3 linked regions of the Pelodiscus sinensis genome follow. The protein of the gene in region 2 purifies or fractionates together with the protein of the main gene of each other region. This does not show direct contact. Links are inferred from orthologs where the notes say so. Each region holds a gene or a part of one and is shown on either strand. Other genes may lie near its edges.

Evidence for each region.
Region 1: the proteins of ASF1B (region 2) and MCM6 purify together in Homo sapiens (affinity purification with mass spectrometry; 4 studies listed by BioGRID and IntAct, counting the BioPlex papers as one, with this or other methods). This does not show direct contact. The link is inferred for Pelodiscus sinensis from reciprocal best matches to the Homo sapiens genes ASF1B and MCM6.
Region 3: the proteins of ASF1B (region 2) and TLK1 purify together in Homo sapiens (co-immunoprecipitation; 3 studies listed by BioGRID and IntAct, counting the BioPlex papers as one, with this or other methods). This does not show direct contact. The link is inferred for Pelodiscus sinensis from reciprocal best matches to the Homo sapiens genes ASF1B and TLK1.

The regions. Positions count from the first base shown.
Region 1 is NC_134717.1:17,813,157-17,820,970, reverse strand, and holds the start of MCM6 (DNA replication licensing factor MCM6), read left to right. Parts: upstream 1-4,674; 5' UTR 4,675-4,779; coding exon 4,780-4,877; intron 4,878-5,941; coding exon 5,942-6,088; intron 6,089-6,830; coding exon 6,831-6,941; intron 6,942-7,814. UniProt on the Homo sapiens protein: Acts as a component of the MCM2-7 complex (MCM complex) which is the replicative helicase essential for 'once per cell cycle' DNA replication initiation and elongation in eukaryotic cells.
Region 2 is NC_134729.1:10,141,903-10,149,840, forward strand, and holds the start of ASF1B (histone chaperone ASF1B), read right to left. Parts: upstream 3,295-7,938; 5' UTR 3,209-3,294; coding exon 3,100-3,208; intron 1-3,099. UniProt on the Homo sapiens protein: Histone chaperone that facilitates histone deposition and histone exchange and removal during nucleosome assembly and disassembly. Cooperates with chromatin assembly factor 1 (CAF-1) to promote replication-dependent chromatin assembly.
Region 3 is NC_134717.1:41,040,721-41,047,867, forward strand, and holds the start of TLK1 (serine/threonine-protein kinase tousled-like 1), read right to left. Parts: upstream 3,141-7,147; 5' UTR 2,789-3,140; coding exon 2,644-2,788; intron 1-2,643. UniProt on the Homo sapiens protein: Rapidly and transiently inhibited by phosphorylation following the generation of DNA double-stranded breaks during S-phase. This is cell cycle checkpoint and ATM-pathway dependent and appears to regulate processes involved in chromatin assembly.

The DNA of each region.
Region 1 (7,814 bases), on a different chromosome or scaffold from region 2:
GTTCTGGACATCCAGCACTCCGGTCATCTGAAGAAGTGAGCTGTGCCCACAAAAGCTCAGATACCATCTACGTTTCCTTAGAACATAATGTTCATCCATCTAGCTTTTGACATTTCTTGCATTTGCATAAGTGAAGAGCTGAGCTATAATTGTCCCATAGCATTGTTGGATATATGCCTTAGCATATGTAGGCAAGAACGTGTAATACAATTTGACATGATTGCCCAACACACACCTAATGCTATATGTATTGTATTATCACAGAACCATAGACAATTAGAGTTGGAAGAGATCTCAGGAGATCATCTGCTCAAAGCAGGACCACCCCAAGTAAATATTATTATTACATTCTTAAATAATACAGTACACATCGGAATGCATTGGCTAACTTGATAGCAACTGCCCCATTTACTATGGATGCAACCTGAAAAGAGTTAAAACATTTCTGTAAAATCTTTAATACCTCTTGTGTTAACCTTATAGGTATTTAATCTTATCAACTCTTTCAAAAACTCCCCTATATGTTTATTGCCTTCATAATAATCCTTAATGACCTATGCATTCCATTTATCTACAGCAAAACAGATAATTCTGCAGGTAGCTTTACAGGGGTTTATGATAGGTTAGTGTGTTTTTCTGTTTGATGGATTTTCCTACTCATGCTCATCACTGGGTCATGATCTTTTGATAACATTCTAAAGTACTGCAATTATTCACATCACCTGATGTTTGTGTCACTTTGCACCCTATTAACTTTGCACTCTGATCTTGTACGTCTCAGGAGAGCGCTGTCTCTTTAAGCCAGTGGTTCCCAAACTTTTCAGCATCATGCCCCCTTTTTGATTTTTGAAAAACCCTCATGCCCTCCCCCCCCCCCCGCCCTCAAAAAATAGCAAAGCTTGTTGAGCAAAAGAAAAAGGAACTGACAGCACAGCAAAAACCTGATGGGAGAAGGGGCACTGGGTCGCCTCACCACCCCGCCTAGAATTTTTTCCCAGTTTGGGAACCCATGCTTTAAGCAAAACACTTAGGAAACTGAAGGCTTTTTTTTAAAGCTAGCAGGAACAACTGATAGTTTGCTCTATTCCCTAAATTGGCAGGAGGCGGGAGACACTCTGACATCATCTCTCTCTGCCTCTTATATGTACAGGAGGCAGCTTCTGGTCCAGAACAGCTTGGCCATGGGTGGCTCAATGTGGGGGGGGGGGGGGGGAGACGGGAGCAGCAGGGAGGCAGGAGGAAGAACACCTCTGCCCTGAATGAAGGCATGCAATGTTGCTCCCATGATAGGGTTGCCAGGTGTCCGGTATTGTACTGGACAGTTTGGTATTTGCACGCTCTGTCCAGTAAAAAAATTGGAAAATACCGGACACGTGCAATATCTGGTATTTTCTGATTTTTCCGGCTGCACACCGGACGGAAGCCTGGTGTGGGCACAGGGAGCGGCTGGGAGTCCCAGCTGGCAGGCGGGGCCGCAATTCCCTCGGGGAGCCCTCAGTCGATTGAGTGTGAGGAGGAGGGGAAACCTCCTCCTCGCTCGTGTGTCACTGGGAGCCTGTGCGGGACAGGCAGCAAGTGCCCTGGTCAGTCCCGGTCCCTGCCGGCCAATTTGCTCACCCCCCCACTTCCCGGCCGGCTGGTTCTCCCCCACTTCTCCTCCTGATTTTCCCTGGCCAGCCTCCCTGCATCCCACCCCCCCCCCCAACTCTGCTTCCCGCCAGCCCGTTCCTCTTCCTGATCTCCCCTGGCCAGCGCCGCTGCACCCTTCCCATCAGCTCTGCTTCCCAACCCCCTTCCTCCCGGCCCCCCTTCCTCCCAGCCAGCGCTGCAGCACCCCCCCCCTACCAGCTCTGCTTCCCGCTCCCCCTTCCTCCCGGCCACCCTCGAGGCCCCCGATCCCCCCCAACTGTGTTTCCCATCCCCCCCTTACTCCTGGCCAGCCCCGCCCCCTCCCGGCCATTTCCCCCTCCCCTGATATCCCGCAGCCAGCCCCGTTCTGCCTAACCCCCCCCCCCCCCATGACCAGCCCTGCTTCCCGTTGGCCCCCCCATCTTCCCTGGCCAGCCCCATTGCCCCCCCCTCCTGTTAGCTGTTTCCAGGCCCCCCCCCCCCCCTTTCCGGCCAGTACCGCTCCCTTCCTGGCCAGTCCCCATCCCCCCAATGAAGCGTGTCTGGTTTTTTTTTTTTTTTTTTAAATGACTACCTGGTAACCTCTAGCAGTGATCCAGGTTCTTGGAGGTTTTTTTTTTTTTTTTGCTCAACAACTTTGGTTCCTCCTCCCCCCTGCTTTTTTTTCCTTCAACAAAAATTTTTCCTGGTGTTTTTTTCTGGGGGTTGGGGGGAGGGTGTTTGGTATTTTTGTTTCAGCCATCTGGCAACCTTATCCATGAGCATAGTGCCCTGGTATGTGATTAAGGCTTGCTTAAAAAAACAAGCATGAAAGGTAAGGGACTCTTGTCTGGGAGCATGAGAACCATTTGCGCACACTAGCACGATCAGGGACAGCGGCTAGTAAGTTTAGAGCCTGTCCCAATGTGTGGGATCAAAGGTGGTAGTGTGAGGCTGCTATTGCCACACAGGAGGAGCAAACAGTGTGACCCACTGACTCTTTTGCCATTGCAGTTCCTGGTAAAGACCTGCAGCTCCATGGATACTGGTTTTTATCTGTGGAGATCATATCCTCATTTGTGGATATACATTTTGTATCCATGTAGGACTAAAAAAGGAAAGCCACATAGTTTACCTTGGTGGAAGAGAGAGACTCTTAAGAATCAGGCTCCTCCTGGAGCCTGTTCCAGAGCCGGGGACATTGCACCCATCCTGTCAGTCTGTGATATCTACTCACTCCAGAAATGAACAAACAGCTGTGTGCAATTATGCAATTAAGTCAAAACTTCATGCAGTATGCTGCAGATACATTAGCATCAGCCCTGAGCTGCTGTTAGGCAACCATAGCATAGGCAGCTGGGCAGGACACTCCTCGTTTTAGTGCACTTCACTTACCTCTTCCTAGCCTTGTTCTGATCCTTTCTGCAGGCTCCCAACACAGTTGGCTGCAGCAGCCTGGTGAGCCTTCCTTCAGAGAGGATCTAATAACTTAAAAGTGAAAAAGCCTTCCAGCTGGCTAGACCTATTAGCACAAGATTAGAAAATGTTAGAGCCATTAAAGTGGTAATACAGCCATTTAACAGGCATTTGCCAACTTCCAGGCACATACTTTTTGTTGCTGAATTTACTGACAAAAACAGTTGTGCCTTACTGTAATTTCTCAAGACAAAGTTAGTCTACAGGACCTTAGTTTAAAATCTGTGTTAAAAAAATTAATTAGGGCATTACTGAAGATGCAAATCCTTGCACTGATTTTTTAGATGCACTATCCTGGGTATTTATCTTTGGCCATAAGTGCTTGGATATTCAGTCATATAGCTTGTAAAATAAATCCTTCAGCAGACCACGATTATCTAAAATACATATGTGAGCATGGGCCTACTGTTGGGCACAGGGGCACCACTGGAATACTACTACTGAGTGGGGCCCTGCATCAGCCCAGTGACCTTGCTACTGCTCCAAGGAAACGACTGACTTCTACAACATTTCAGAACACAACCTTGGAACCTCTAGGCCACCCTGGCCGATGGGCAGAGGCTCCCAAGGGGCAGGCCATTTACTTCTCCCCAGGAGACTAGGTGCTTCCAAGTGACTTGTCCCAGATGGGGGTGTGCCGAGTGCCAACTGCCCTTCAGGGCAAGCACAAGCTGGGCTGCCAACTCCGACTGACTGGTAGGATTGCCAGATGGTTGAAACAAAAATACTGAACACCCCCCCCCAAAAAAAAACCCAGGAAATTCTGTTTAAGGGGAAAAAAAGGGGGGAGACCAAAGTTGTTGAGCAAAAAAAAAGGGACGCCGAGGACTTAAGCCAAATTTTTTTTTTTTAAATAAAACAGCATTACAACAGGATGTCCCCTTTAAGAGTGAGTTCAGGGATAGGAACAGGGTAGCAGTTGAGCACTAAGACCCAGGCACTTTCCCTAGGTCTTTTGGCCTGCAGCTATTTTATGCCAGGTAAGCATGGGGGCTGTGGGCTTGTGGGGAAGGCCGGGTGCTCAGCATTTTCACCTCCTGGCCAGGGGAAAAAAATCAGAGAATACCAGATAGCTCAGGTGTCTGGTATTCTCTGAATTTTTTATGGACAGGAGGTGAAAATACTGGACTGTTCAGGTGAATAGTGGACACCTGGCAACCCTACGACCAGCTGCCAATGCAGCACATAGTAGCGGGTCTAGGAGAGTTAGCCACTCTAGGTGCAAGTGCCAGGGGCTGCAGGGAGAGGGGCTCAGCAGGGCACACCAACCCCTGGCTCAGTGCACACACGAGCCTTCACCCACCCACTGGAAAAGTTCTCCAGCCTCTTCCAGCCATCAACCACCCAAGGGACGGCCAGCATTGCGCATGCGCAGCCCCCTGCCGGCTGCGCTGCTCAGGCACGTTCCGCGGAGCTGCTCTTTCAAGGTCTCCTTATTTGCTGTCCGCCGACTCGCAGCCCTCTCCTTTAAATGCCACCTCCCCTTTAACATCGCCGCCTTCCACCCGTGGGCGGGGTCGGATTTGGCGCGAAAACCTTCCCGGGGAAAACCTCTGGAATGGGCGGAGCGCGGGGCGCGGCGGCCGCTGATTGGTCGGCGGTGGCGCCCGCCAGCCACGTGGGCTGTGTCCGCCGCGCGCGACTTGTGTGCCTTGTCCCGGCTTGGTGCGGGGGGAGGCTGAGCTCGCGCGCGCCATGGACTTAGCGGCTGGGGATGGGGGGGCCGCGCCCCAGCAGCTCCGCGATGAGGTGGCGGAGAAGTGCCAGAAGCTGTTCCAGGACTTCCTGGAGGAGTAAGTGCCCCGCGCCAGCCCCCCTCCCCTCGGGAGCCACGGGGATTGGGGGTGCGCGGCGGCTCCGAGGCCCACGAGCCGCCTGTGACGCGGGGGCGTGTCCCGACCGGCCCGTGCAACCGCCTCTGCCCGCGCGCGCTGCTGGGGGGGGGGGGGAGGGTCGCGCGTCTCCCTGCGCTGGGGCGGCCTCTCTCCCCTACAAGCAGGCGCGCCTCGGCGCGTTCAGTCGCCGCTCTCCTGGCAGCGGCGTGTCCCCCTTCGGTCTGACGGGGTGTGTGCGGGGGGGGGGTGCATCTTCCCTTTGGGGTTGCTTCTGCTGGAGCAGTCCCTTGGGAAAGCCGAGCGTCGTCCCGGATGGCTCTACAAAGTGCTGCCTTCAGACTAGATTCCCTTCTGTCTTGCTCGCTTGCGCTTCGGTTTGTGCATTTCGGACAGCTCTGCGCAGCGGAGGTTTTTATTTTCGTACCATCGTTGTCTTGTACGAGGGTGCACCTATTACTGCTGTTAGCAAGACTGTTCCATCATTTCGGCCCAGATTTAAACGGCATTTAAATGTGGTGCAGTTACATTATTGGCGTCTCCTTTAAGTTATGTGTGAGTCTCCCAGCTTTTCTTCCTAATTATTGTCAGTAATACTTGTTTTCTAGCAATTGCTAAAGCTTAGAACAGTGTTCATCTCTTGGCTGTTTAAGTTTCGTTTTTCCACTTCTGAAGTTTGAATTAGTCCTCCAAGGAGTTTTGTATCAATCACAGGCTGTCACACAATCTTGGCCATAAAGAAGTAAAAACACATTTTACCTGTGTGTGTCATTGTAAAACCATAAGTAAAATGCTGTCTGGGGAATCAGGTATGTGAGACATTTGTATTAATTCACTTTGAAATCCCCATGTGTGGGTCAAAGGGGGAGGAGAAAAATTATTTTTGGCAGTGAGGTTTGCAAGTCCTACAGGTATATGGCTTTTTTCCCCCTCCTACCCACTTTACACAGGGCACAGCAGAACTATTCCATTGCTGCTTGCTATACAGTACTGCAAAACTTTCCCTAAAATACTGTCACTTTTAGATTCCAGAACAGTGATGGGGAAGTCAAATACTTGCATGATGCTGAAGAGCTAATTCGTCCAGAGAGGAACACATTAATTGTGAGCTTTGTGGACTTGGAGCAGTTCAATCAGCAGCTTTCTACCACTGTCCAGGAGGAGTTTTACAGGTAAGGCTCACCTAAGAACTGAACATCAGTGGTTGTTATTCAGGATGGACAGGAATGGTGTCTCTAGCTACTGTTTGTTAGAAGCTGGGAATGGGCAAAAGAGGCTGGATCACTTGATAGTTACCTGTTCTGTTGATTCCTCTGAGGCATCTGGCATTGGCAACTGTCAGAAGATACTGGGCTAGATGGACCTTTGGTCTGATCCAGTATGGCTGTTCTTAGGTTCTTAACATCACCTGGATATTACAGTTAAAAAACAGTTCAAATGTAATGGGAAAAATATCTGCTGACTGGCCCCATTACTAGCTCTGCCCACTTCAGGTGTAGTGTTCAGAACTATATTATCATCAAACATGATACAAATAGGCAATTGCATTTGTGTTGTGGGGAAAAGTAGATGGAACATTTGGAAATGCTAAATTAATCCACCCATCATAGTACTTGCTACTTTCAAATGTATTGGGCCAGTTGCTGTTTCCTAGTCTCAACATTTGAATCAGGCTAAGCTTGACCCTGAAGACTTAGTGAAATAAACTGTACTGAAATCTCTTTTTAGAATAAAGAGAATTAAAATTATGTAATCGTGTGATATTTCATGTTTGGCACATTTTTACTTGTTTACCTGTGTCTTGGCATACTATAAACCAAAGCTTGTACATATATGAGGAAGGCCTTTGATTGTAAAGGGGAAAGGAGTTTTGTATAACTTCAGTATAATGTGAAATTATTTTCTGTATTTCAGAGTTTATCCTTATCTGTGTCGAGCAGTAAAGACTTTTGCCAGAGATCATGGAAATGTTCCTCCAAACAAAGACTTTTATGTGGCATTCCAAGATCTACCTACCAGACACAAGTAAGATGCCTTTTAAAAAAATAATTGAAATCCATCGATGTGGGCTAAGCAAGCATAGTATAAAGAAGATCTGACAACAATAATGAGTAAGCAATGAAATTTAGAATTGAGATTAATGGATTCCAAGGCTAGAAAGGACCATTGTGATCATCTAGCCCAGTGGTCTCCAACCTTGTAAAGCACAAGATCACTTTTTGAATGCAAGTCAATCCAGGATCTATCTCCAACCTAAATATCCCTGCCAGGCTGTCTTCCCCATCGCTGAGGCTCTGCCTCTGCTTACTCTGGCTGTGTCTAGACTACATGACACTTCGAAATTGCAAATGAAGTGGGGATTTAAATATCTCACACTTCATTTGCATAATTGCATCATAGTGCTCTTTCGAAAAAAATGCCATTTTGAAAATAAAACTTCTTTTTCAAAAGAGCACTATGACGCGATTATGTGAATGAAGCACAGGATAATTAAATCCCCGCTTCATTTCAGTTTCGAAGTATCTAATTTACATCCCTCTGTCGAAAGAGGGATGTAATCTAGACGCAGCCCCAGTGGAGATGGGGATACCTTGATGTCAGCAGCCTCTCCCTGTGCCTTCCCCACCCTGCAGAGCAAGCAGGAGGCTCCAAAGATGCAGCTCCAATGTAGAGGGCAAGAGAAAAATGACCTGGATAGCCTCCTGGCCAAACCTGTCAGGATCACCTGTCAGAGGCTCCAGGATCTACCAGTAGATCTTAATTTACCGGTTGGTGACCACTGACTTAGCCTGACCATCTGTAGACCACTAGCCAAAGAACTGCTTAACTAATTCCTAGAACATATCTTTTAGAAAAACATCTAGTCTTGCACAATTTTTTTTCTAAAACCACTGTCAC
Region 2 (7,938 bases):
ATTTCCTGATTATGACCCAAGGGCTCTTAAGCATTGTCTGCACCAGTTTAAGGCCAGAATGGTTTTGTTGAAATCCCCCATCTGTCTGCCTGGTTCCATCTGCTGTCCCCTGCCTAGTACTTTCCTCAGATTCTCTTTGAGGCGGCCTTCTTTTTGCTGTTTGTACAGTGCCTGACACAATGGGACCTTTGTCATGTTACCTCGTAATTCCATTCCAAGCAAGTCCTACTCTGGTTTTAAGTCAGGTTAATAGTCAGTGCTCCTTCCAATACAGGTACCAGGGCTGCCAAACTGTCCGTTCAAAGGGAGGAGTTTCAACTCTGAGCCTCTTAGGTTTGGGTGGGTGCTGAGCTTTGGCAAAAGACACACTCAGACATGTCTAAGTCTGAGCCAATGCCAGGCCTATGCCCCCAAGCACAGACAAAGCTCGAAGGATTAGGGGTGTGTGTGTGTGTGTGTGTGTGTGTGTGTGTGTGTGTGTGTGTGTGTGTGTGTGTGTGTGTGTGTGTGTGTGTGTGTGTATTGGGGGGAGGGGAGAGTGGCATTTCCACTTCCACACCAGAGGGAAGTGTTCCATGTAACATGCATGTACTTTCTAGGAGACTGGATTAGCTTACTAACCACTATTTAACATCCCTAATCGAGTAGTCGACAGAATCAACTACTCGATTAGTCGAGAATGGGGTTCACTGTGGCTCTGCTTTTTAAATGTAGTAAGAGCCGCTAGGGAACGAACTAGGTCCCCAACGTTGGCATCTGCCTCCCTGCGGAAAAAGCCAGCTGGAGGAGGGGAAACCAGCTCTCTCAGCACTGGCTCCTGCCCCCCCCCCCCCCCCCGCTGCCTCTGATACAGAGGCAGCTGGGGGGGGGAAGCAACTAGTAGAGTAGTGACTCGACTACCCAATAACCCTAGGCTTATCAGGTAATCAACTACTCCAGCATTTTTCAAACTGTGGGACCTGACCCCCCCGGGGGGTCACGAGCAACTCGGGGGGGATGTCACGGTATCACAAGTTTGAGATCCCCTGAACTACTCGACTAGTCACTTATATCCCTAGACTGGGTCAGGGTAGCTTTTACCAGGCAAAGTGATGTCACGCAGCAGAGGGGGTTTGGATTAAGGGGACATTCTCATAACAAATCAGAAACAGCTTTTCACACAGATGCTCTATAAATTTACAAGAAAGGGGGATGTGCCAGCCATAGATTACATTACATAACAGACTAGAGTAGGTTCCTCATGCAGGGAAGCCTTCCTCAAGGAGCAAACAGCTGCATATACTCTCAAACCCCGGGAATGGGGCTAGAGCTCCTAGAATAGGGAATAGTGGGGGACAATCCCACATAAGCCCTTAAGAGCAAGGAATTTCAGTCAGATGGAGGACCAACACTCGCCCCTCCCTGCACTGGTGAGATTCTGCAGACAGGTTTCCCAGCACAGCATGGTGCGTCCTATTTGGGAAAAAATCCTGTGGGGCACCCCTGTACCCCCCCAAAAAACCCTGCTGAGTAAGGCAGGCTATGTAGGTGGTGGTGCTGTGTGCGCACGCATCCCCCCCCTCCCCTCCTCTCCCACAACCTGGATGATGGCCTCAAAGAGGATGAACTTAAAAAACAACAAATGGTCTGCTACCCCCTGAAGCTTTAAAGAGGACAGGGAGTCCAACAGCTGTCAAAGCTCCTGTCCCCTTGGCTCAGCAGGGCTGTGCTCAGACTCTGCAGACAGCTAATTTTCAAACTGTAAAGCCAGTGAGACATGCCAATTTTTTAGCCTCAAAGACAGTGGAGAGATTTGGCTGCCACCACTCCACAGCTCTGATACCCCCTGAAGTGAAGAGGCTCACAGTTTAGGCCATAGAGGGCTTTGCAAGGTACGCTTGCATGACAATGTCGCTCTGGGATTTGACATCTCACATTCACATTATCCCAACACCCCCCAGAAAGATTCTCTTCGAACCCTGGGCTCCTTTCTTCGAGAAGAGAAACCAGCCTCCCAAGAGATGCCTCAAAAGAGTCTTTTGGATGGGAAATGTTACTGGGGGAGGGCACACAAAGAACTACAAACCAACAGCCACCTTTCAGAGCCACCATGTTAAGTAGTGTCCCGTTCACATGTTTATCAGTGGCAAATATTCAACCCAGGAACATTGGCCCAAATTAGTCTGGACTCCATTAATCAACAAAAGGCAGATATTTTGCCCCTTGAAGTATCCAGACCAGAAGGATACTCTGGCCACCAAACTAAGCTATGAATAGCCTGCTTTCAGAAATGCTGGGCACACCTGATTCTCCCCCATCAGCAGCACCTCTTCTAATCATTCCATAACTGGCAACAAGCAAGCAGAAGTTTGCAAGCAGAATTCCCCCGGCAGCCAGGTACGAGTCCTGTCCCTACTGGTAAGGGGCACGGTTATACGAGCAGGGTTAATCAGGCTAGCTCAGCTAGGTTATTTCAACACCAAAGAGCTCTCTGCAGCATGCTGAGAAGATCTCCAGATCAGATGTAGAACATGGGGGCATCCTTAAAAGGCACCTGGCTTTCTCCTCATGCCCAGTTCTCCCAAATGGCCACATCTAGCTCCAGACTCTTCGCCTGTGCAGGCATTTACAATGGGGACATTACGATGCGTTTAAATTCACACGGCGCTCTCAGCCTCTGAGGGCCTGACAACAAGGCGACCAGAGTGAACAATCAGGCCAAGAGATGGAGGGTGGGGAAGAGGAGCCTGCCCAAGACAGAGCATCTGGCCACCCTCCCTGGCAGAGGGGCCAACCCAGCAGCCTTTTTAAAACACCCGGCGTGTGTGTGGCAGGGTCCAGGCTCCCTGCACTTCGCAGCCCCGGGACGGTGAGGCAATCAGCTCCCTCCATGTTAGAGCCCGGAAGGGACGTGACCAGGGCCACAGCACGTCAGTGGCAGAGACCCCAGGCGTCCCGGCTCCTGGCCAGGCGTAGGGACCAGCGGGCACGGCCTGGACCCCGCTGCCAGGCGCCCTGGAGTCCGACCCCCGGGGGGGGAATAGCCCCGCCCATGAAGCCCCCCCCCGCCAGAGGGGAGACCCCCTCCCCAGCGCGCGGGGGGAGGGGGCCCGAACTCACCGTGCGGCAGCGCCTCCCCGCACTCGAACTGCACCTGGAAGCGGAGCGGGCGGCCGAACGGGCTCGGGTTCTCCAGCACCGACACGCCCAGCACGGACACGCGGGACATGCCGCCGGCGGGAGCGGGACCCGAACCCGCCGCGCGCCACAAAAGCCGCCGCCCCGCGCCGCCCGCGCCGGCCCTTGTCCCTGCCGCGCGCGCCGCCGGCCAATCAGCGCGCGCCGCCCGCCGGCCTGCGCCAATCCTCGCCTGCGCCTTGCTACGCCCCCGCCAATCCTCGCACTTCGCGCCGGGAACCAATCCCCCACCCGGCCCGCCCACTTCCTGCCAGTCGCCACGCCCTTCCCCACATACGCCAATCGGCTTTCCCCGCTCCTGCCCTGGCGGGAGCCGGATGCAGCCAATCCGCACCCGACCCACTTTCCTCCCCACCAATCAGCGTGGGCGACAGTTTTTGGGACAAAGACGGCCACTCACTAGCCGGGAGGAGGGGGGAGACGCTGGGTAATCAGAGGAGGAGCCTGGATTGGTAGGACTGTAGGGGGCGGGGCCTGGACTCTACAGGGCCATGCAGGAGCGGGCGTTACTTTCCTGCGCCGGTGGGTGGGATCCACGAGAGGGGCTCAACAGGGGGCGCTGTGGGGCAGGGAGCAGGGCGGGGGTTCAGCAGGGGGTGCTGTGGGGCAGGGAGCAGGGCGGGGGTTCAGCAGGGGGCGCTGTGGGGCAGGGAGCAGGGCGGGGGTTCAGCAGGGGGCGCTGTGGGGCAGGGAGCAGGACGGGAGCTCAGCAGGGGGCGCTGTGGGGCAGGGAGCAGGGCGGGGGTTCAGCAGGGGGCGCTGTGGGGCAGGGAGCAGGGCGGGGCTCAGCAGGGGGTGCTATAGGGCAGGGAGAAGGGCGGGGGTTCAGCAGGGGGCGCTGTGGAGAAGGGAGCAGGGCGGGGCTCAGCAGGGGGCGCTGTGGGGCAGGGAGAAGGGCGGGGGCTCAGCAGGGGGTGCTGTGGGGCAGGGAGCAGGGCAGGGGCTCAGCAGGGAGCACTGTAGGGCAGGGAGCAGGGCTGGGGCTCAACAGGGGGCGCTGTGGGCAGGGAGCAGGGCAGGGGCTCAGCAGGGGGCGCTGTGGGCAGGGCAGGGGCTCAACAGGGGGCGCTGTGGGGCAGGGAGCAGGGTGGGAGCTCAGCAGGGGGTGTTGTAGGGCAGGGAGCAGGGCGGGGCTCAGCAGGGGGTGCTGTGGGGCAGGGAGAAGGGCGGGGGCTCAGCAGGGGGCGCTGTGGGGCAGGGAGCAGGGCGGGGGCTCAGCAGGGGGTGCTGTAGGGCAGGGGGCAGAGTAGGGGCGCAGCAAGAGGTACTGTTCCTGACGGGTCGGTGCTGGCCCCAGTGTGGTGCTAGACAGAGTTGTGGTGCAGGGATTGGGGAGAGTAGAGAGCAGAGTGCCCCCTCCTGACTCACAGCATTTACCCCCCACTTCAGTCTGCCTCCCTCAATTGCCCCTCCTGCAGATTGGGCTGGATTCCCTGCTCGCCTGGTCTGCTGTGTTGCTGCTAAGCCCAGTCCCATATGTCGCTACCGCTGTGCAGGCTGCTACACGTCTGCTGTGCCTCTCCCCAGACATAGCTGCATTTCAGCACTGGGTGAGCTATCCTGCACAGAGTTGCTGTGTGACTGAAGAGGGAAGCATGGAGTGGGTGAGGGGATGGGAGAGGGGTGTGGATGCAGGAATGAAGTGGGGGAGAAGGAGAGATGGGGTGGGAGATGGAGAGAGGGGTATAGATGGGGGCAGATTGTCTGGTAGCAGTGTGCAGGCTCTCCAACCTAGACCAGGCCAAACTCCCGCGCCCTTCCCTGAGGAGGCCACTATCCAAACCAGATGGAACAAGGGGAGGGGCTCATCATACCACTGACAGGCAGGCGCCCGGCAGCCATGCGAGACAAGGGGGTGGGCTCAGCGTGTCTCCCCGCACCGAGCTGTCGGAGTGAGCAGCCCCGGAGCAGCCGCGATCGATTGGATCCATCACCAGGCTCCCTCCCCAGCTCCCCTTTGGCCCCGGCCGGCTGGGGGAGCCGGAGTTGCAGCCAGGGATCCTCCGTGCACCTGACAGCTTGTCAGCCCTGCCAGTTCGTCTCGTTCTGCTGAAAGCAGGAGCTCCCAGCCCTGGGCCTGGCGCGCTCCCCACCCCCATGCCCCAGATGCCTGGCATGGCAGGTTGGATGCAGAAGGGAGAGCTCAGATACACTGTGATGGCACTTTTTGTTTTTGGAGGAGCAGAGCTGGGTGGGAGGAGCCCTGAATGGGCCAACAGGGCTGTGATCAAGAGTGAGGGGCACCGGCAGAGCTGGGGGGAGCCCAGGGCTCCCACCATTCACTCTCACTGCACTCACCCCGCCCCTTCCCGACATCCCCCCACCAGTGACATGGCCGCCGGTGCCATTCCCCCCATGGCTGGCAGGTGGCGCCTTCGCCTCACCATCCAGCTGAGAGCCCAGTGGGGCAGGCGCCAGCAGGGTCCAGGTGTGGGGCAGTGAGTGGAGGTAGGGGAGGCAAAGTGGAAGCGGAGAGCCATTGCCAGGGGCGAGGGGGGTGGGACATTCATCCCCAGAGCTGGGAGAGGGGAATCACTGACATTTCACACCCCCGTCTCCCCTCCTCCATCCACCTCCACATGTGGCACACTGTACCCCTGTGTCCCCCCACAGCCCTACCCCTGCCCACCCGCTCTAGCACCCCCCCACTGCCTCATCCTCCCTCCTCCATCCACCTCCACATGTGGCACACTGTACCCCTGTGTCCCCCCACAGCTCTACCCCTGCCCACCCGCTCTAGCACCCCCCCACTGCCTCATCCTCCCTCCTCCATCCACCTCCACATGTGGCACACTGTACCCCTGTGTCCCCCCACAGCTCTACCCCTGCCCACCCGCTCTAGCACCCCCCCACTGCCTCATCCTCCCTCCTCCATCCACCTCCACATGTGGCACACTGTACCCCTGTGTCCCCCCACAGCCCTACCCCTGCCCACCCGCTCTAGCACCCCTCACTGTCTCATCCTCCCTCCTCCATCCACCTCCACATGTGGCACACTCTGCATCCCTGTGTCCCCCCACACCTGCCCTCCCACTCCATCACCCCCACTCCCCATCCTCCCTCCATCCACCTCTGCGCCCAAATCCCCCACTCAACCCACACTCATCACCCCCAGACCCATCCCTCCCTCTTTTGCCTCCCCACTCAGCCATCCCTCCCTCCTTCCTCCATCCACCTCCACACATGACAAGCCCCCCCCCCCCCCGCCCACTCTTCCCCCCTCGCTTTCAGCATTCCCCCAAGTACCGGTCTCCCACACTTGACGCTGCCCATCCCTCTGCTCTCTGGCTCGGTCTGTGGGTTTCTCTAGTTCCTGCCAGGTTATCAGGGGGTTCTGAGGCGGGTCCCTGGCCTGGGATCTGATGGGGGCAGCGATTGCTGACGTGTCAGGGCATGGCCGGGCTGATTGGGACCCTGGGACAGAAGGTCCATCTATGACTAGGCTGATACATAGGGCACTGCTAGCAGGGACATGGGGCAGCACAGACGGGGAGCCCATTGACCCCCAAGGGTCAGGCTGTGACCTGCAGCCTCTAGGGAGAAGCCCCTTTGAATTCGTCACAGTCCAGGCCCAACGTGAACTCTGCCACCAGCAGGGATGTGAACAGGCAACTGGTGTTGGGGAGTAGCCCCCCACCAACGGCCTGCTGCAGCCCGCTGCTCCCCTCCCACCAGCTCTGCCAGTGCTGGTCGGTCCCGACCCACAGCCGCCTGCTTCCCTCCCCCCAGCTCTTCCAGTGCCCCTCAGTCCTGACCCACAGCCCCCTGCTTCCCTCCCCCCAGCTCTTCCAGTGCCCCTCAGTCCTGACCCACAACCCCCTGCTCCCCTCCCCCCAGCTCTTCCAGTGCCCCTCAGTCCTGACCCACAGCCCCCTGCTCCCCTCCCCCCAGCTCTTCCAGTGCCCCTCAGTCCTGACCCACAGCCCCCTGCTCCCCTCCCCCCAGCTCTTCCAGTGCCCCTCAGTCCTGACCCACAACCCCCTGCTCCCCTCCCCCCAGCTCTTCCAGTGCCCCTCAGTCCTGACCCACAGCCCCCTGCTTCCCTCCCCCCAGCTCTTCCAGTGCCCCTCAGTCCTGACCCACAACCCCCTTTGTTCCTCCCAGCAGTGCCCCAGGCCATGACAGAGAGCGGGCAGGTTTGGGGGGCACAAGGGATGCTCAGCAGGAGGTGGCTTCATGATAATTACCATGTAACTGTGTCTAATGAAGACAAGGCCGTTAATTGCAGGTAGTGGAGTCTGGGAGGCTGCGGCTGCTTGTTCCCTCCTCCCCCCGGAGACAACACATGCCAGCCCCTTCAGGGCCAACAGCCCTTGGAGCCAGAGCCAGACCCCCACCCCCCTACACACACACTGATCCCAAAAGCCCAGTGGGACCCGGAGCCATTTCGCTGGGCTCTGGCTTCATGGCCTCACTCCCAGCCAATATCCAGGGCACATTTACAAGGGTACTTTCCAGAGCCCCTAACACAGCCCTGCCCTGGGCTCCCCACCCCCGGCTCTGCCAGTGCTACTCAGAGAATTAGCCTCCCTCCCCTGAGCTCCAGGCCCCAGGGGCTGGTCCCCACAGGTCCCCCCTGCTTCCCCGCCAGCCTCCTATGTCCAGCCCCAGCTGCTCCAGCCCAGTGTGCGGGAAGTAGCCGCAGGACTGCCCGGCAGGGAAGGAGCCAGCATGTCTGGCATTGATCAGCTTGGAGTTTGTCCACATGGGAAGCTATTAAATCCTAGGTCATTTCCCTGGCTGTTTGGAGCACAGTGGAAT
Region 3 (7,147 bases), on a different chromosome or scaffold from region 2:
ATGAGCAATTATAACGTATTCAAATACACCCAATCATCCTCAGCCTCTGCATAACTTGTAGGCCGTAAACTACACAAAGGGTCTTCCTCCTACATACCTAAATGGCACAGAATAGTGTTCCAACCAAAAACACACTCTAAAAAACCACTAGTCATAGCAACAGCATTGAAGATAAACAAGAAATTTACAAATTTAAGGTGATTGCAGCCTTAAATCTGTACTGGTTTATGTATTCTGGCCCAAGCTTTAGTTACTTAATCAAATACTATATCTCAAATTACGCAAAATAATATTTTTTTCTATATTCTTGAGGGCGCATCTTGTACAGCTCCCACATCTATTTTGTCAACTGTCTCACATACACGTTACTATAATACATAGCAATATCTAGCACTATAAAACAGTGTACAGATGCATCAGAAGTGGCAAAAAGGTATATTGTTTGAAAAAAGATATGAAAAACTATAATTTTTATTTATGGGACGTATTTCCTTGGTGTGAGATTCTTCTAACATGCAAGTTTCCTTTGCATTAGTGTGAAGTGTAGTGTTAATGCCAATGGGAAGAGGAAAAAAAAAAAAACCAAAGACTGCTTTTATCTCACACGCTTTTCAAATGGAAAATGTCCAGTGGCCCCACAATCATGAAGAAGCAAAAGCAATGAATAAATTGTATTAATATAGACTATAAGTACAGTGTCATTCTGAATCACACAGCAGATTTTGTGGTTTGGTCTTCAACCTCTGAACTACACAACCTAAATTACTATAGACAGAAAAAATAAATTGTTAACCAGTTTTAAAACGATAAACATTAATATAAAATGATGCCTCAATGTATTGTTTCTGTCAGGACTACTCAAGCAGCACTTTTTGTTAGAGTGAGCAACATAACAATTAAAAACAGAAAGCTGCAATAATAATTTAAGATGTATGTACCAAGTATCCCAATAATGACAGGTGAATAACTGAATCCGAAAGTACGCACAGTTCTAATGCTGGTAAACCCAGTGCAAACTTAAATAAATAAATATATATATATATATATACACACACACACACACACACACACACACACACATTATATATATAAAAACACACACACATGCCACTATCTTCTCTTATTGAAGAATTCACCCAGGAGGGGGGCAAGAGTACAAAATGCTTGCTACTTTATTTGGCATCTTTAACATATGCCATATACCCAACCTTTCCCTATATCTTCTGGAAAGTAATAATGCCAGTCTCAGATCCAGGAGCATGTGCAAAAGTCACAAGGAATGATGCAAGTCTAACAACTAAAAGCATGGAGATTGAGGACACACACTTACACATTTCAAGGGGCTGAATGTATTGTCAAGTCTTTAAATTGTTCACTGATAAAAACTTGCACTTCAACTTTTGTAGTACTGCACAAGTATCCTCTAAATAAAGCTATCCTACTTTTCTCTAAGCCCTTATTAGCTTATTTTAAGTTTGAAAGTTTTCAGCATGGCAACCAGTGTTCTCTACACAAGAGAGCAGAAGCACCCAATATTGAGGTCTTCGATACTCAATAAGATATCCAAGTCAAATTATACAACTGCTTAACATGCATAATTTCCCCTTTACAAATATATGCATGTGGGTATAAAAGTTCTCGAGCAACAACTGGTATACAGCAAGCAGTCATTTTAGTTAAAAAGCACTGAGCATTCCACTAGCTGTATAATTGCTACATCTTGTGGCAATGTATTTCAATGCAAGGAAGAAAAATGGACAATAACTGGAACAGCATAAGAAGAGACTTGTTTGCACATAACCTTCATACAGATATTCCCTGCAAACACCCACAACACCCTGCTCTCACTGTCGGTGTAACACAAGAGGGGAGGAGCAGGGGAGGGAGGAGAAAAATATTATCATCTAAGATGTGATGGAGGAAAGGAGAAAGTTGCAATCATTCTCTGGTGGTTTTAAGGTGTCGTGTCACTTCTGTCCTCCAAATTAGCTGCTCAGAGAAGTGTTTCCTCCCCGATGGGAACACATTCCTTGATCTCGGTCTCTTTTTCTACTCCACCTCCATGATGCCAAAAGGACCCGACCCTTTCCATTAAGCAACAACCGCCACATTCACCCAATACACCCAACAAATCACTTTTACTTTTGAAATGCGTGGTGGAAAATAAAATTTGGAAAGAAAAAGAACAGAAGATGCAAGCCTCCGCCATAAAAATCACAGAGAAGGGATAAAAAATTAGAAGAGGCTGAGGATTCTTGCTATAAAGATTGTCAGGGAAATGAACAAACATTAATCAATTCTCCTCCGTAGCCCTGGAAAAGGAAGGGGGTGGAGAGACTAGGAAGCCGCTTTTACTACTAACAAACAGAGACGGGGTGAAATTGCTGGATTTCCAGATGGGGTGTCTCCCGATTGCCCCTCAGGGGAAGGGAGGGTCCCCCACGGCAGGATCTGGGGGTCCCCGCTGTGCTGAAGGGAAATACCCCTGCATTGAGCACAAGTCTCCCGCCTGCCCTCACCCCCATTCACCGCGCACCCGGCCCTACGAGCCTGGGACTGGCCTCCGGCAGCGGCGGCGGCTGGGCCCCTCCCCGAAGACCGGGCCCCCCTCGCAGCGCCGTGGGCACGGAGCGCGCTATTTACCTTCCTTGGGCGGCTTGCCGGGCGGCGCGCTGTGCAGCAGGGAGGCCGCCGCCGCGGAGCAGCCCTGCAGGCTCGGTGGGGACGTGGAGAGCCGGGACCAAGATGGCGGCCCCTCCAAACTTCCACTGCTACTTTGGACACTCATCAAGCTACTTTCCTGGAGCCCGGCAGCCGCCGGGGGCGGCGGGGGAGGCGGCGCGGCGGGGGGACACCCAGCGCCGCGCTCATGGCCGGGGGGCCGGCCCGACACCGGGGAGAGGAGGCCGCTGCGGGGAGAGGGCTCCGGAGGCAGGCGGGGCGCGAAGGAGACAGGGCTCAGGGCCGGCGCAACCTGCCCGCACCTCTGCACTGCGTCGCCGCGGCCGCCGCCGAGCAGCCGCCTGTGTCTGAGGCTCAGGCTAACCTCCGCCGCCGGGAGGGGGGGAGGGAGCGGGGAGGGGTCATGCGCAAACACCACCGCCAGCGAGCGCCGCGCACCTCCAGCGCGCCGGGCCGGGGGACCGCACGTACACCTGCCCCGCCGGCCTGGCCAGCTCCGCGCTCACCCCGCACGCCACCCTGCCCGCTGCGCCGCCGCCCCGGGCCCCCCGCTGCCCGCCCGACACCCCGTCCGGTACCCTGCCCCCCCCCAACAGCCCGCCCGACACCCCCGCCCCCAGCGCCCTGCCCGGTACCCTGCCCCCCCCAACAGCCCGCCCGACACCCCCAGCGCCCTGCCCGGTACCCTGCCCCCCCCCAACAGCCCGCCCGACACCCCCAGCGCCCTGCCCGGTACCCTGCCCCCCCCAACAGCCCGCCCGACACCCCCGCCCCCAGCGCCCTGCCCGGTACCCTGACCCCCCCCAACAGCCCTCCCGACACCCCCGCCCCCAGCGCCCTGCCCGGTACCCTGCCCCACCCAACAGCCCGCCCGACACCCCCGCCCCCAGCGCCCTGCCCGGTACCCTGCCCCACCCAACAGCCCGCCCGACACCCCCGCCCGGTACCCTGACCCCCCCAACAGCCCGCCCGACACCCCCGCCCCCAGCGCCCTGCCCGGTACCCTGCCCCACCCAACAGCCCGCCCGACACCCCCGCCCGGTACCCTGACCCCCCCAACAGCCCGCCCGACACCCCCGCCCCCAGCGCCCTGCCCGGTACCCTGACCCCCCCCAACAGCCCGCCCGACACCCCCGCCCCCAGCGCCCTGCCCGGTACCCTGACCCCCCCCAACAGCCCGCCCGACACCCCCGCCCCCAGCGCCCTGCCCGGTACCCTGACCCCCCCAAAAGCCCGCCCGACACCCCCAGCGCCCTGCCCGGTACCCTGACCCCCCCAACAGCCCTCCTGACACCCCCAGCGCCCTGCCCGGTACCCTGACCCCCCCCAGCAGCCTGCCCGACACCCCCGCCCCCAGCGCCCTGCCCGGTACCCTGACCCCCCCAACAGCCCGTCCGACACCCCCGCCCCCAGCGCCCTGCCCGGTACCCTGACCCCCCCCAACAGCCCGCCCGACACCCCCGCCCCCAGCGCCCTGCCCGGTACCCTGACCCCCCCAACAGCCCGCCCGACACCCCCGTCCCCAGCCCGGTACCCTGGCCCCCCCAACAGCCCGCCCGACACCCCCCCAGCACCCTGCCTGGTACCCTGACCCCCCCCCAACTGCCCGCCCGACACCCCCCAGCACCGTGCCTGGTACCCTGACCCCCCTCACTGGTCGCCCAACACCCTCACAGCGCCCTGCCTGGTACCCTTACCCCCCTCTCACTGCCCGCCCGACACCCCACAACGCTCTGCCTGGTACCCTGGCCGCCCTCTCGCTGCCCTCCTGACACCTCGCAGCGCCCTGCCTGGTACCCTGCCCCCCGCTCACTGCCCGCCCAACACCCCCACAGCGCCCTGCCTGGTACCCTCACCCCCCCCCACTGCCCACCCAACACTCCCACAGTGCCCTGCCTGGTACCCTGACCTCCCTCTCACTGCCTGCCCGCCCCCCGACACCTCTGCACCGCCCTGCCTGGTACTCTGACCCCTTTATTGCCTGCCTGACACCCCCACATTGCCCTGCCTGGTACTCTGACCCCCTCTTACTGCCTGCCTGCCCAATCCCCAACACCTCCACATTGCCCTGCCTGGTACTTTGACCCCCTCTCACTGCACGCCTGCCGATACCCCCACATTCCCCTGCCTAGTAGTCTGACCCCTCTCACTGCCCTTCCTCTCCCGGGCGGCTGCCCTGAACACCTCTCCTCACACTGTCCTGCCACTGCACTGACTTCCTGTCTCACACCACCCTCTTTGTTACTCTAACAACTTTAACTGACACTGCCCTGTCACCTACCCTGACCCACTCCACACACTGACCTGCAACACCATACACTAACCCCGTAACAGCATCCTGGCAGCTGCCCTGATGACCCCTCCCCGCCCACCACCACATACACAGTATAGATCCTTATGTTGCCCAGGTCCCATAGACAATACACTACACTACAACCCCTCATACCAACTTCCTACTGACTTAATGCCCCCCCCACTACATCCTCCCTGCTGCTGTGAGCTGCCCACTTCACACTGCACTGATCTGCCACCACCACACAACCCTGTCTCCTGCCCTGACCCCACACAATCAATACACTAGACGCCCCTCATATGACTTTGTCTGCTGCATTCACCCCACTCCCACAACACACTACAGTCCCTCTCACTAGTTTGCTTGCTGCCCTGACTCCTCCACCTCACACTGTTCTGCCTGCTGCATTGACCTTCACACTACCCTGACCCCACACATGCACTACAGTTCTTCACACCACCCTGTTTGCTGCTCGGATGCCCCTACCTCACATCACTCTGCCTACTGAACTAATGCCACACGATTCAGTTCCCCACCTCACAACATACTACATGCTGTCTTGACACACCCTCTCACCATCCTACCTGCTGTACTGACCCCCCCACACACACACACACGCTACAGGCCCCAATTGCTGCACTCACTCTACACACGCTACAATCCTTCACACAACCTTGCGTGCTGCACTGATCCCCCCCACACACACGCTACAGCCCCTCACACAGCCCTGCCTGCTGACTGACCTGATACATACACTACAGCTGCAAATACCTCACACCACACAGCCTCCTGTCCTGACCTGTCCCACAAAAATAATACAACCCCTCCCCCTGCCTCACCTGCTGCGCTACTCCCACACTTATGCACAATGTCACACTTCCCTGACTCCTACGACACACATACAGCCACCCACACCTTACCCAGCCCTACCTGCTATACAGACTCCATGCACACAACCTGCACCTCACACAGCCATGCCTGCTACCTTGACCTCCCCCATGCACCAAAGAGTCCTGCCTGCTTCAGCCACGCCAATTTACATAACCCTGTTTTCTGCATTGACCTTCCTGCCAAACATACCCCACCATCCTTGCCCCACTCTGTCACATAATACAGCTGTGTCTGCTGCATGAACCCTATCACCTCTCTATCTAATCCAGCTGTATCTGCTGTACTGATCCTGCTGTGTGACTCTTTCCCTACATGCAGCTCAATCCTACCTAGCCATCTGCTCCTAACACATCTGCACAGACTCCACCATATACAGACATCACCATCACCACTTATCCACATCCCACAATGCCACTTACATTTTCCTCCTCATGTCTTCTCGAAACACATCTCCGACTCAATGCCTATGAGAAATCAGACAGTTACAGATAGTGGGTAGTTTGTCTAATTATAAAAATAATAATAACAATATTCCAAATGTATTCACAAATTGCATATATTTGTTTCTGTTTCTTGAGACCTTTTATTTGTCACATGAATTCATAGATTGTAAATGCTGCAGGACACAAACCATCTCTAGGTGGAAGCCACTGGCCAGGGAGTTGCTTGGCATAAGGAGGTGGGATACGGTGTAGAGAGCAGTGTGGCAGGGCTTCTTGGCAGTGCAGGGATGGGGTTGGGAGCACAGTGGGGAGGGAAGTGCAGGAGTTAGGGTTGAAGGCAGCACTGTGCAGAGGTTAGGGTCAAAGTGGGCACAATGCAGGGGTTTGTGGCAAAGGAGGCACAATATGGGACTGCAGGACATGGGGAGCCCATAGGTATCAGGAGAAAAGGGTGGTGCCAAACACGGGTTCACCCAGGAAGAAATTTTCCCTAGGGCCAGTTCTGCCCCATAGGTCATGTTTTCTAGACATTTCTTCATTTTTGCTGCTCTTCTGTATACCTTTTACAGTTTCTCTCAATTTTTCCCGAAATGTGGTGTCCAGAACTGGATACAATACTCCAATTGAGGCCTAATCAGTGCAGAGTAGAGTGGGAGAATTACATCTCATGTCTTGTTTACAACACTCCTGCTAGTACATCCCAGAATGATACCGTTTTTTGCAAAAATATTCCTCTGTTCACTTATATTTAGTTTGTGGTCCACTGAGATTCCTAGATCGCTTTTCGCAGTACTCCTTCCCAGGTAGTCATTTCCCATTTTGTGTGTGTAAAACTGAT